2 linked regions of the Ovis aries genome follow. The protein of the gene in region 2 interacts with the protein of the main gene of each other region in a biochemical or structural test. Links are inferred from orthologs where the notes say so. Each region holds a gene or a part of one and is shown on either strand. Other genes may lie near its edges.

Region 1 (5,966 bases), on a different chromosome or scaffold from region 2:
CCGTGGGGTTTTTTTGGTCTTTTCATATTGTTTGTCCAGAATTTGCCCCAACTGCACATGTCCGACCCCTCAACACACCCCTACCCTCACCCTGTGTAAGGTACAAACTTATCTCCCCTTAGGGAGAAAGGAAACAAGGGAACCTGTTGTCTGCTCTTGCTCCTCCTTGCTGCGGCAGGGGACCCAATAAAGTCTTGCCTGAAAAAAAAAAAAAAAAAAAGAACTAGGCTCACACCTGCCAGTGGGCTACTCTGAAGACCATTTGCTCTGAATCTTTCACCAAACTGATTCCTTCTGCCCTTCTCTCAACTCTTAGCTCAGTCATTACATCCTCAGGGAAGCCCTGCCTGACCTCTCTCTAGTTCAAAGTGCCCGAGTATACTCTAATATCACCATGCACCTCTTCTTTATATTTCCTGTGACACCGTTCACATTTTTGTGTGTAAACTGGATTTTGGCTCCAAGTCAGGACTTTTTTTTTCTCACTATGTTACTAACAGTTTTCAGTATAGTACATGGAATATAGCATAAATTCTGCAAACTTCAAATGAATTTGTGAATATACAAACTCATATAAAATTGTAATAATCAAAAATATTCTAAAATTGTGCCAGAAAAAGAATGCTAGGCTAAAAAACAATACAGCAAAGTGCAGAAACACACACAGGATAAATAAAAATCAAATATATAACAATGGTTACTTCAGAATTAGCATTTGTCTAGTTAATGGCGTTAGAACTGGCTATTTAAAAAATTAAATTTTTATTTCACATGTAAATTTACAATGGACTAAATATGTAAAGATAAAATAAGAAATCTCAGAAGTCAAGAGAAAATATAAACAAATATTTATGTAAGATTGGGAAGGGCAGATAAACTAAATCCAACAGAGGCTGAGCGGAAAGATGATAAAGAAACAAAACTATGCAACTAGAGATTATCATACTAAGGGAAGTAAGTCAAAAAGAGAAAGAATTGCCATATGGTATCATTTATATGTGGAATCTAAAATATGACACAAACCAACTTATCTATGAAACAAACAGAATCAAGGACATAGAAAATAAACTGGTGGTTGCCAAGGGGAACGGAGATGGGAGAGGGCAGGAGCAGGAGTTAGGGATTTACAGATGCAAACCAGTATATACAGAATGGACAGACAATAAGATCCTACTGAATAGCACAGTGAACTATATTCGATAACCTGTGATAAGCCACAATGGAAAAGAATAAGAATATAAATATACATATCTATATATAACTGAGTCATATATCCTTGATGTATAGCTGTAATTAACACAACACTGTAATTCAAGTATACTTCAATAAAGAATAAATTAAAAGAAAAAAAGAAACAAACTGGTTAAAATTTGGCTCCATAATAATTTAAATCTTCTACACATTAAATAATCACATAAATGAAAAGGCAATAAACTACAAACAAACATTTGCAGCATGTGAAAGAAGGTTAAATCAGTAATGTAAGAACTCATAAACAATAAAAATAAGAAAAACAGCAACAGAGAAACAGATATTGATATATTTTTAAAATGTGAATAATCACAAATAAATTTGTTCAATCTCACTAATAATAAAAGGAGTACTAATTAAAGCAATCTAATACCACTATTTACCTATAAAAATTAGTAGAGATTTCAAAGAAAATAAAACTCAAGTGTTATCAGTCAACAGGCATATGAAAAAACACTGAAAGTCAGAGAATAAATTTTTAAAACATCTTTTGGTAAGGCAATCTGCCAGTGAACACAAAATTTCTTTAAATTCTGATGGTCTTTGATTCAGCAATTCCACTTAAGGGAATTTACTCTAAAGAAAGTACTATGCGTGTATGCAAAGTTAGAGCTATTAGGATAGTCTTCAAAATGTTCTTTGAAGTAAACAATCAAATAAATGTTCAACAATAGGGAACAGGCTAAACTATAGATACTTGTATTGAAATATGATGTAGCTGTTTCATACAGATGAACATGAAATGACATAGGAAGATGTTTATGAAAATACTTAGTGAAAGTTATCATTATAAAATATTGAATATTACAAGATCCCATTTTAAAAATGGGAACATGTTGAAAATTCACTGTGAGACAAAAAATAAATCCTTTGGTAACTCATTTTATACCCATTTTATTTATATATAAGCTCAAGTAGCCACAGAGCTTAACCCTTCCTTATAAAACAAAAGTCTGGAAGAAACAAAAATTTACTCACTCTTCCAATTTCTGCAGTCCAAGAAACAACAATGGTGTTTGGTACAGTTGTAGACAATCGGACAAGTGAGGTGATATTAATTGGTCGGCTGGGTCGCTTTGGTTCCACACCATTTTTAGTAGGTGGAAGATAACCCTAAGGATGAAATATAACATTTCTATTTATTACTTCCACAACCATTTAAACTTCCATTCCTTAAAAAAAAACAACACCCTACAAACTACATATTAGAAAATATGAGTATTTCCATTTAAAAGTGGAGAAGCAAACATTTGTAAGAGTTTTCTGTACGTTTCTCGAAACTACCCTACAGTCTCATTAAAGTAAACCTGAGAAAAATATTGGTGATAGAACGTAAAAATCTGTAAAAATTTAAGAATCATGTTGAATTCATAAACAACTTGGATAAACACATAAGGGCTATTTTAAACGTGAGCAACAATAGCCCCCACTCCTTCGTTAAATGCACAGCAGTCTTCATATCTCCCATCTACCACAAGGTTTCAGACACAAGAATACATCTGAGGTTTGATGAAACAATCTCTTCATCCCAAAATTAAATAAAATACTAAAAGCTACCACACCCAACTCCAAGTCCTAGACTATGTCTCCATAGCTAATGTCACAGCTGTTAATTGGACATAGTTGGTACAAGTGTTTCACTCAGTCACATGAATATACATCCAAAATAAAGACGTTTTCTTAATGAAAAACTATGATTAACAACAGCTGTGATGACTTATTTGCTAGCTATGTTGGGAATGCACTGGAAAAATAGCTTTTAGGACTTACTGGAAGGCTGCAAGGTTTTGTATTCACTTTCACACAAAGATTGGGTGGGAAGTGATCTTCTTGTGGACAACTGGTTTCTGATAAACAAAACCTAAACAATAAAGAACAAATTTAATTTCCTTTATTAAAAGATGATCTCATTGATATTTTTGTTCCATAGCTAATCTAAAAGATGGGCAAACTTAACAGCAACAACTATTAAAACTAGACATTTCATATTACGAATAAATGCATTTAAATAGGATCAAAATAAATAATTTTGTCAATGTAGAGTTTCAATAGTCACAACTACTAACCTGTAGTTGTCCTCATAGTATTTCCAGTCATTTGTTCAAGCATGCTGGCGGGGGTAGGGGTTGGGGGGTTGAGGTGGGGTGCTCTGGGGTTGAACACATTTAAGAAATTTTGGAGAGTAACATGGAACCTTATATTACCATATGTAAAACAGATAGCCAATGGGAATTTGCTGTATGACTCAGGGAACTCAAATCAGGGCTCTGTAACAACCTAGAGGGGTGGTGTAGGGAGGGGGTTCAGGAGGGAGGGGACATGTATATGCCTATGGATGATTCATGTTGATATTTGACAGAGAACAATGAAATTCGGTAAAAGCACTCATTCTTCAATGGAAAAAATTCAATTAAGTTTTCTCTGTACAGAACATCTCAAAGCTAATAAGGACTGTAAATTTTTAAGAGGGAAATGTATGTGTGTGTGCTCAGTCGTGTCTGACTCTTTGCAACCCTATGGATGGTAGCCCACCAGGCTCCTCTGTCCATGGGATTCTCCAGGCAAGAATACTGGAGTGGGTTGCCATTTTCTCCTCCAGGGGATCTTCTCAATCCAGAGGTTGAAGCTGTATCTCCTGTACTGGCAGGCAGATTCTTTATCACTGTGCCACCTGGGAAGCCTGATATAACATATGGTATTTCCCAAACTTATTTGTCTATAATACATTTTTTTGGTTCTCAGCAGAATATACTGAAAATGCTAGAAGTCAAGCTCCAGGATCAAGTTTTGTCCACCAAGTTCAAGTGTTCCATTAGTTCCTGAAAACTGAGGATGTTGAATAACGACATTATTTGTATTATATCCACGTGTTTAGAATACTATTTAGAAACTCACAAAAACATTTATTTCTAAATTACATGGTAATCTTTCAGGAAAAACCAAGACAGCTACATAATTTGTACACTCTCAATCTTTTCATTCTTTTTTTTTTTTTCAATTTGGCTGCACCAGGTCTTAGTTGTGGTATGTGGGATCTAGTTCCCTGACCGGGTACCGAACTGGGCCCTCTGCACTGGGAACGTAAAGGCTTAGCCCCAGGACCACCAGGGAAGTTCCTTACTCTATTCATTCTATAGATTGAGAAATAGATTAATCTGCTATTTAAGACAACAATTCTCAATTACTTCCTTGTTCCCAATATAGAGCTAAGGTTCATCCCACCTTTACAGAATGTTTACAGAACTTTTTGAGTTATATGTTAAGTATGCTATCTCTGAATTCTATGAAATATTCATTGTTTTTACACAAGTTTTACACAAGAAGCACAAGTATCTTCTCTCAATAATCTGCCTGCCATGGAATCTGTGTGAGGGAAGGTCCACAAATGGGACAATTTTCTATATAAAATTTTATGGGTACATATATGGTCATCTTTAAGCAGGGACAATCTATAGTTTCCATTACATTCTCAAAGAGGTTAGAGAGTCATAGAAAGGTTTAGAATTACCAACCTACAAAGATTTTCTCAAAATATACTTAGCACACAGATATCAACACCCACAAGATCATCTCTAACCCCAGCAGAACCTTCTATGACAGGCCAGTTCTTCACACAGCAAAAGTCAGAGGATGCTCCAGTTTCAAATCAATTATACCAACACTGTGGGAAATTAGAAACATGGACCTGGCTGCCTGAAGCCACCGAAAACCAAAATCCATGTGACAAGTTGACCCCTATTCAACTATGTGAAAAGTGAAAATCTAAATTATTCTTACAAACCAAAGGTTTTTTTAAAAAAGGAACAATAGCAGAAAGTTTCTATACAGATGTTCATGGGGGTGGAGAGGGGAAACAGATAAATGAAAACAGATTAGGAATCTAATAGAGAAAATACTGATCTTAATTCTGACCAAACTGTTTTTCATGTTTTAGATAAAGACTTATAATTAGGATAGTAAAAGGTATACACTCCAAACTTAATATCCTGGGATTGCTGTGGGGAATGGGCAGTGTAGGGATGAAAACAATTTAGCAAAACACAAAGAACCACATAATAATTCCCCAGTATAATACAAAATGGTTCTTTTTCCATTAAGTTCCGGAGATAATTTGAATTTAAAATAGCTAAGCCACTCCAGTATTCTTGTGCTTCTCTGGTTGCTCAGACAGTAAAGATTCTGCCTGCAATGCAGGACACCTGGGTTTCATCCCTGGACTGGGAAGATCCCCTGGAGAAGGTAATGGCTACCCACTCCAGTATCCTTGCCTGGAGAATTCTATGGACAGAGGAGCCTGGCAGACTACAGTCCATGGCGTCTCAAAGAGTTGGACATGAATGAGCAACGTTCACTTCAGAAGCCATTTTTAATCATCACAATTCCCTTAGAATCTCTGAGTTTATCTTAGAAAGAAAGAAAACCTTCCTTTGGAATGAGATCAATACCTCTTGCTGCTTTAAAGAATGCATGTACGGTAATGCTAAGGATAGCAGGTGGATCTTCTGTTCTAGAACTACGGTTTGCAAATTTAGTCTTGGGATATTCTCCTCAAACGAAAACTAACCCAGAAGTCAAACATGTAAAAGCAGGCCAAAGCAGCACTACTTTGGTTCAGAGTGTGTATGTGTGTGTGTCAGGTAAGAGAGTTGGGGTGGGGGAGAAGGTGGAATGATAGCCAGAGGGTAGACCCCAAATGGTGGCTTCAAGCAACAGTC
Region 2 (5,966 bases):
TTATTTTTAATGCTGAGTTAGAACCTTCATTCCTAGGACATTTCAAATTTCAAATCCTAGAGGCCAAACTGACAGGTTATCTGGAGTTGTCTGCAAAAGCCAAAGCCCCAGAGATAAGGGTCACCTGCTTCATCATATCTTCCTATTGATGCAACTGTGTTTAATTAATCTAAATCATTTTTACTCGATGGTTAGAAATTCACATCCTCTCTACTCAAAGAGTGAGATGGAGAATCGGAGGAGATCCGCTAAAGGGTCAACAAGTCTTTGATTTTCAAGAAATGGACTTAACACCAGAGAATATTTCACCTGTGGCTACAAATTACTTTAAAAGAATATAAAAAGCCATCATTTATTATAAGCTTAATTCATTTGCTTCATTCCTATAATTGCTAACAAATATCAAAGTAAAGTTGATGGACCCTAATGTAGTAAACCTGAAATGCACGGAGCTTTCATGAAAGAAGAGCACGAACGCCCACAAGCTTCCTTCCAAAGGTACCCATGTGTCTCCGCAGCCATCACGTCGGAAACAAACTTGGAGCAATTCTCTACTGCAGAAATATCTACAGCGTCACACAGTTCACGCTCAAGCGCCTGAGAGGCGTGGCACTCAGGCTTCCATGCTAACCTTGCATTGAGAGAAAAACGTCAGCAAAAATTCAGCAAAAATCTAGTTAGACCAGCATCTCAAGTATACTCTCCGGTGGCGTGAGCTTCAGAGGCGAGGCCCCCGGAGAGAGGCGGCATGAAGGCACAGCAACGTCAGGACCACACAAGCTCGAAGGGCAGGCTCAGAGTGCCCTTTTCTTTTAAAATCAACTGCACGGCATCAGAAGTGATGCTCAGCTTTACAGCTAGAAACTGAGGCAGTCTCTCACCAGAGTTATCGCCCCTCCAACAAAATTCATCCTAAAAATTCAAATACGATAATCATAAATCTCCGTCTCATTTCAGAAACCCCTGACAGTATGACAGGCATCTCAGAGGAAAACGTATGACCCCACTAAAGAAAAGAAAAACAGTGGGGGCGGGAGGTTGAACCAATGGATAAAACTGGTGACAGAATCCTGATGAATAATAACTATCTAACCTTTAATTAGAGAGAAGAGATTTGTTTTCTGTGTAATTTTTTTTCTAAATTCTATTTCTTCTTCTTCTTTTTCCTTTGTGTGGTAATGAAGAAAGCACCTAGAAGCTATTCTGTTTCTTTATTCAGGTAGCATGGTGACGTTCTGCAAAGTAACACTTCCAAGGTGCTTCCTGGCATCTAGGGGTTCCAGGAAGGTACACCACCCTTATTCCCTCAAATACGGGCCCTCAGGACAACAAAGCGTCCAATCTCAGAACACTCAGAGCAGGGATCTACACGTGAGCTAGCGCAAAGTTCTGCTGAGCGGCTTTCCCTCCCCTTTCTTTCCCACACTGTCAGGATGAATCGCACACACTTCTGAAAGTCACCGGTGGTCAAGTCACTTTGCATTTTGGGGAGATTCTTGCTTCCGATACCAGCTGCTTTAGACTATGGCTTCCCACGACTCCTCCAACGAGGCTGCCCTCAATGGCTTGTCATTTAGTGCCAGCGACGCCCAGTACCTGTGAGAGGGGGCACTCCTTCGCCAAGGAGCTCTGATTCATGTCCTTCAGCAAGTCTTTCAGCGCATTCCTCACGGTGGTGTGCGACCACTGCTCGGGGGGCAGGTCTTCCAGTTTGGGGCAACTGTTGGAGACACAGAGTAGAAAGGGGATTATGACAAGATTGCATCCCGCTGCAGAACATTCCTTTAAGACAGACAGATTTCATTTTGCGCATCAAACAGATGCATCTGGAGATTGCTCTCGGTCTCCTGATTGTTCCGATTAGTTAATTACTTTATACAACACATCTGCTGTATCGATGCATGAATTATACATCAGCTGCCTGTGGTGGCTATTTTTCCATGTTACTTCTACCTTCCTGCTCGGATGCGCTTGGGAAGACAATTTAAGGTGTACTGCTTTCTCAAGAGCCATCGTGAAAACACGAACGTGGGAACCGTTTTCCCTTCAGGACTCCGCTCGTACGAATTAAGACGGTTAAAAAAAATCATATAAATAAATAAGAGCTCGGCAATAGTGAATAAGGCATTCTTTCACAAAGTGTACACAGATGGCACTGTTCATGATATGCAAAAATATTTTTCTCTTAAGTAAACTTTATGTAAAATGCCTTCTCGCAATGCATCATTTAATTGATTACACAGAAAAAGTCTTGTCTTTTGATAACCTGCACAAGTAGATGCATTTGGGGGGAACACTGCTTCTAAACGATGGGCTCAGATTAGGAAGATAAAGGAGAAAGGGGGGAGGTGGCAAAATCGATTGGGGTTAGCCTCTCTGAAATGCAGGGCGAGTCACAGCTGAAGGCTGGCCAGAGATACTTTGTTTCAAACGATCAGGTGAGTAGAACGTTCTGCGCTGGAACTGCTTTCCTGACTCACCTGTGTAGCTGAATTTTCAATGTGACCACATGATACACATCCTGAAGCATATCTGCTACCGTAGCGTCGGGGGCATCTGTCACGTAAGACAGGGGGACTGGGTTCCACTTCCCGACCTGGATCAGCCCTGTTCCAGATAAAGAGCGTGTGTCACTCAGGTCTGGCCCTTCAGATAACCTACCCACTGCCAGCCTGCTTTTCACTGCCCCCACCACAAGCAATACTGTTACTTCTGTCTGAATGATTCCCTTCCCTCCAAAAGGCAGGTCAGTGAAAATATGCTCAGCTCAGTTTTCCAAACTGTGAAATTATGTAAATGACGGTGGGGCTGTTTATTATTTTGGAAATAAAACCCCATCAATAAAACCTAGGCAGAGGCCACATTTTCCTAACTTACAGGAAGTTCTAATAAGACATAGCTGAACCAGTTCTAAATGGCTTTACGATTTAGATAAGATTCTCGATTGCAATGGGAATCAGCATTGAAAAATACTTTACAGCCCATAAAACCATCAGAAACAGAATAAAAGAAACAGAACTAGATATTCAGTCATAAATGCAAATTGACTCTCAACAGTCCATCTGCTCAGATACGCTCCTCACTTCCTTGTGGGTCCTCAGTGGAGCAGATTATTAAGGTCAATAAGCTTACTAATGATTCAGCTGAAGTAATTTAAAAAAAAAAAACCTACCTCCACATTCCACATGAGCAAAATGCGTGTTAACTAAACCAAACCGAATTAAGCCGATTTTTTAAAGCCACAGTCTAGAAGGAACCCATGTAACACACAGGCTACAGTTCTTTGAATGAAAATATTCAGATGCTTTCTCTGCAAGGTAAACAAAGGATGCCAAGCAATTCCCCCAACCCCGTGGATGCATTATTTACCTTTGGCCTGGGCAGCAGAGCTATGTGAATAACCCAGAGACAGCAAGGCCATTTCTATCAGCTGGTTGAAAAGCATGTCCTTCCTCACCAACACAAATTCTGCATGCTCCTCCTTGCAATCGTATTCAATGGCATTTTCATAATGTTCTACCACGCAGAAAACCGGGAGCATGGTTCCTATCAAGGAGACGGAGGAAAAAGAGACGCAAACCAACGAATTTCAGCAACACAGTCTGGGGGGGGGGGCGGGGGCGGGCAGGGAGGGAAAAAAAATGAAACCATGAAAATAAATCTTCACCACCACGAGAGAATGCAAGACTGGCACAGAGACCCGGGCACACAGACACAAACACACACCTTCTTTTATTCTTATTTTTTAAGTTGCAAGAGAAATGTTGAAATAGAATATGAACTCGGCCCTGAGGTAACTGGGCTCTAATTTTAACAGAGCATTTCCCCAAACCAATTAATGCAGAATTACCTTTCTGATCAAATCATAAGGCTGACAGGAGAGGAGTAAGAGTCTGGTCTGATCTGCTGTGAGTGGTACCTGGTGTGCAAATGTAACTCACTCAGCTCAGCTTCGAAAGAACCCATCTTCATGCTTCCTACATGCTTTTGTTAGGATTCAACTTTCCCTGTCTGTGTCCAAACAAATTAGCTTTGATTATAAAATTACGAGCATTCGCCTCGTTCTTTAAGATCTTCACGTTGAGGCCACAGAAGAAACACAACTTAACCCAACTGAAGTTCATAAACACAGGATTTCAACACGTGCACACTGCAGATGACTAATACTCACTTTGATGGCTACTCATTTAACCTGCCTAAAAGGACATCACGGTAACCACAGGTCTTTAAAACGAACCATCTCTGCTCTAGCAAATGGGGTAAGGATGAGAGCAAAGGAAACCGTCCTCATCAGGGTGTCTCAAGCTACAGGAATCTGCAGAGACGAGATGTGCTCTCTGTTCACTGTAATCCCAGGTAATAACTCAGGAGCCAGATGGTTAATAAACACAGGCCACACCACACCACTGTCAGCAAAGAGGCTTCTAGAAACAGAAATCACGGAACGCTGTCGTCCTCGAGGTGTTTACACAGCGCACTGTCAGACTTCCAGTGATAAACGGAAAAGGGTTAAAAGCAGATGCAGCGGAGAGCACTGTGGCACGCGGCCAGGAGGGCACCATCCTGAGCATAAATGATGACAAAGGTTACCGCGCCAGGGCACCCGGGACCCCCAGTTAGTCCTGGAACGCCAATGCCTCTCTAAGCTCTGTCCTCTGCATTCACAGAAGCCAACCAACTTCTGAAGGTATCCAGGGCCGGCAAAGCAGAGCTAAAAACCCAGGGTTTCCTCCTGACACCAGAGATGCCCTTTAAAAACGCCCTATTTGCTTGTTTCTGCTGAACAAAGCCGGCAGGAAAAGCAGGCACCGTCTTCTACATGGGCATCTACACCACAGCTTCAGTGAACTGTTCACAAGAGATTCTAGTTCTGACAAATAAACCCCTTTAGGTTTACTTAGAAAAGCTCACAAACTCATTTGGAGGGACCCAACAGGCTAGGCATGAAAAACAAGCTGTGGAGCTTGCCAATATCCTCGTCATTCATTCGGCTGTTTTTATACCAGAGAGAGAACCCGTCAGGGATCAGAAGGAGACTGGGAGAGACCACGGCAGAAACAGCAGTCTGCAAACTGGTGATTTCTCCCTTGGCTGGAAGGTACTCTGGCAGAACCTCCTAAACAAACAAACAAAAAAACCTCCAACCCCTTTCCTTGGGGTGCGCTTTCTCAACCCAGCCACACTCACTATCTGGCACCTGTCAAGCAGAAACGCTGCACGTGAAAAAGAAGATAAAACAACACCACCACCAACACAAGGCTGGAGGCATTTTGTTGCTTCAAGCAAGCAGAGAACCTTCTACAATTAAAGAGCGTTTTTAAAATGTCACTACAAATGCAATGCTTGGGGAAAAAAAAAATCGGCACTTGAGCAGGAAGTGAAATTATTGTACTTGGGTTTCTCCTCCCTCTATCCTGAGGTCTTCAAAGAGTTGGGTTACTAACACAACAAAAAACATAGGCATTGATTTTTCCTCTTATAGAATGATACAGACCTGGGCTGCTCTTTGCTGCTCCTCAGACCTGGGAGATAACTGAAGGTTTTTTAAACTGTTGAAATAAAGGAGAGTCGCTCTGGATTTTAGAGGGACCCTGTAAGATCGTTAAGGTGGCTGCTGATAAGGTGACAATCGTAGACTTTAATTTTCAATCTGACTGCTTAAATCTTCCAGCAAACTGTCATGCACTCCTCCTGATACTGTGAGTCAGGCTGCACAGGAGCCTTCTCTGAACCGATTGTTTGTGTGAGTGTTTGGCGAGGCTTCCAACTCCAGCAACTTCATAACCTTCCAGTATGGAAAGGGGAGTACGCTGGTCACTGCTGACTGCTAAAAATACCGCATGATTTAAACCTGGAGGCAGTCTTAGAAGCTTTTGCTGAAGGTTTATGAGCCTGTGTAAACAGCACGTCTGCCATAAGGAGCAGTGAAGTCTGTAGAATCCTTGTCTAAAACTGTCCTGGCATTA

The links.
Region 1: the proteins of SATB1 (region 2) and PIAS1 form a complex in vitro, tested with the Homo sapiens proteins (2 studies listed by BioGRID, with this or other methods). The link is inferred for Ovis aries from reciprocal best matches to the Homo sapiens genes SATB1 and PIAS1.

What each region holds. Positions count from the first base shown.
Region 1 is NC_056060.1:14,945,936-14,951,901, reverse strand, and holds part of PIAS1 (E3 SUMO-protein ligase PIAS1), read right to left. Parts: intron 3,113-5,966; coding exon 3,022-3,112; intron 2,365-3,021; coding exon 2,230-2,364; intron 1-2,229. UniProt on the Homo sapiens protein: Functions as an E3-type small ubiquitin-like modifier (SUMO) ligase, stabilizing the interaction between UBE2I and the substrate, and as a SUMO-tethering factor. Catalyzes sumoylation of various proteins, such as CEBPB, MRE11, MTA1, PTK2 and PML.
Region 2 is NC_056054.1:276,533,415-276,539,380, forward strand, and holds part of SATB1 (DNA-binding protein SATB1), read right to left. Parts: intron 3,547-5,966; coding exon 3,370-3,546; intron 2,608-3,369; coding exon 2,481-2,607; intron 1,721-2,480; coding exon 1,597-1,720; intron 1-1,596. UniProt on the Homo sapiens protein: Crucial silencing factor contributing to the initiation of X inactivation mediated by Xist RNA that occurs during embryogenesis and in lymphoma.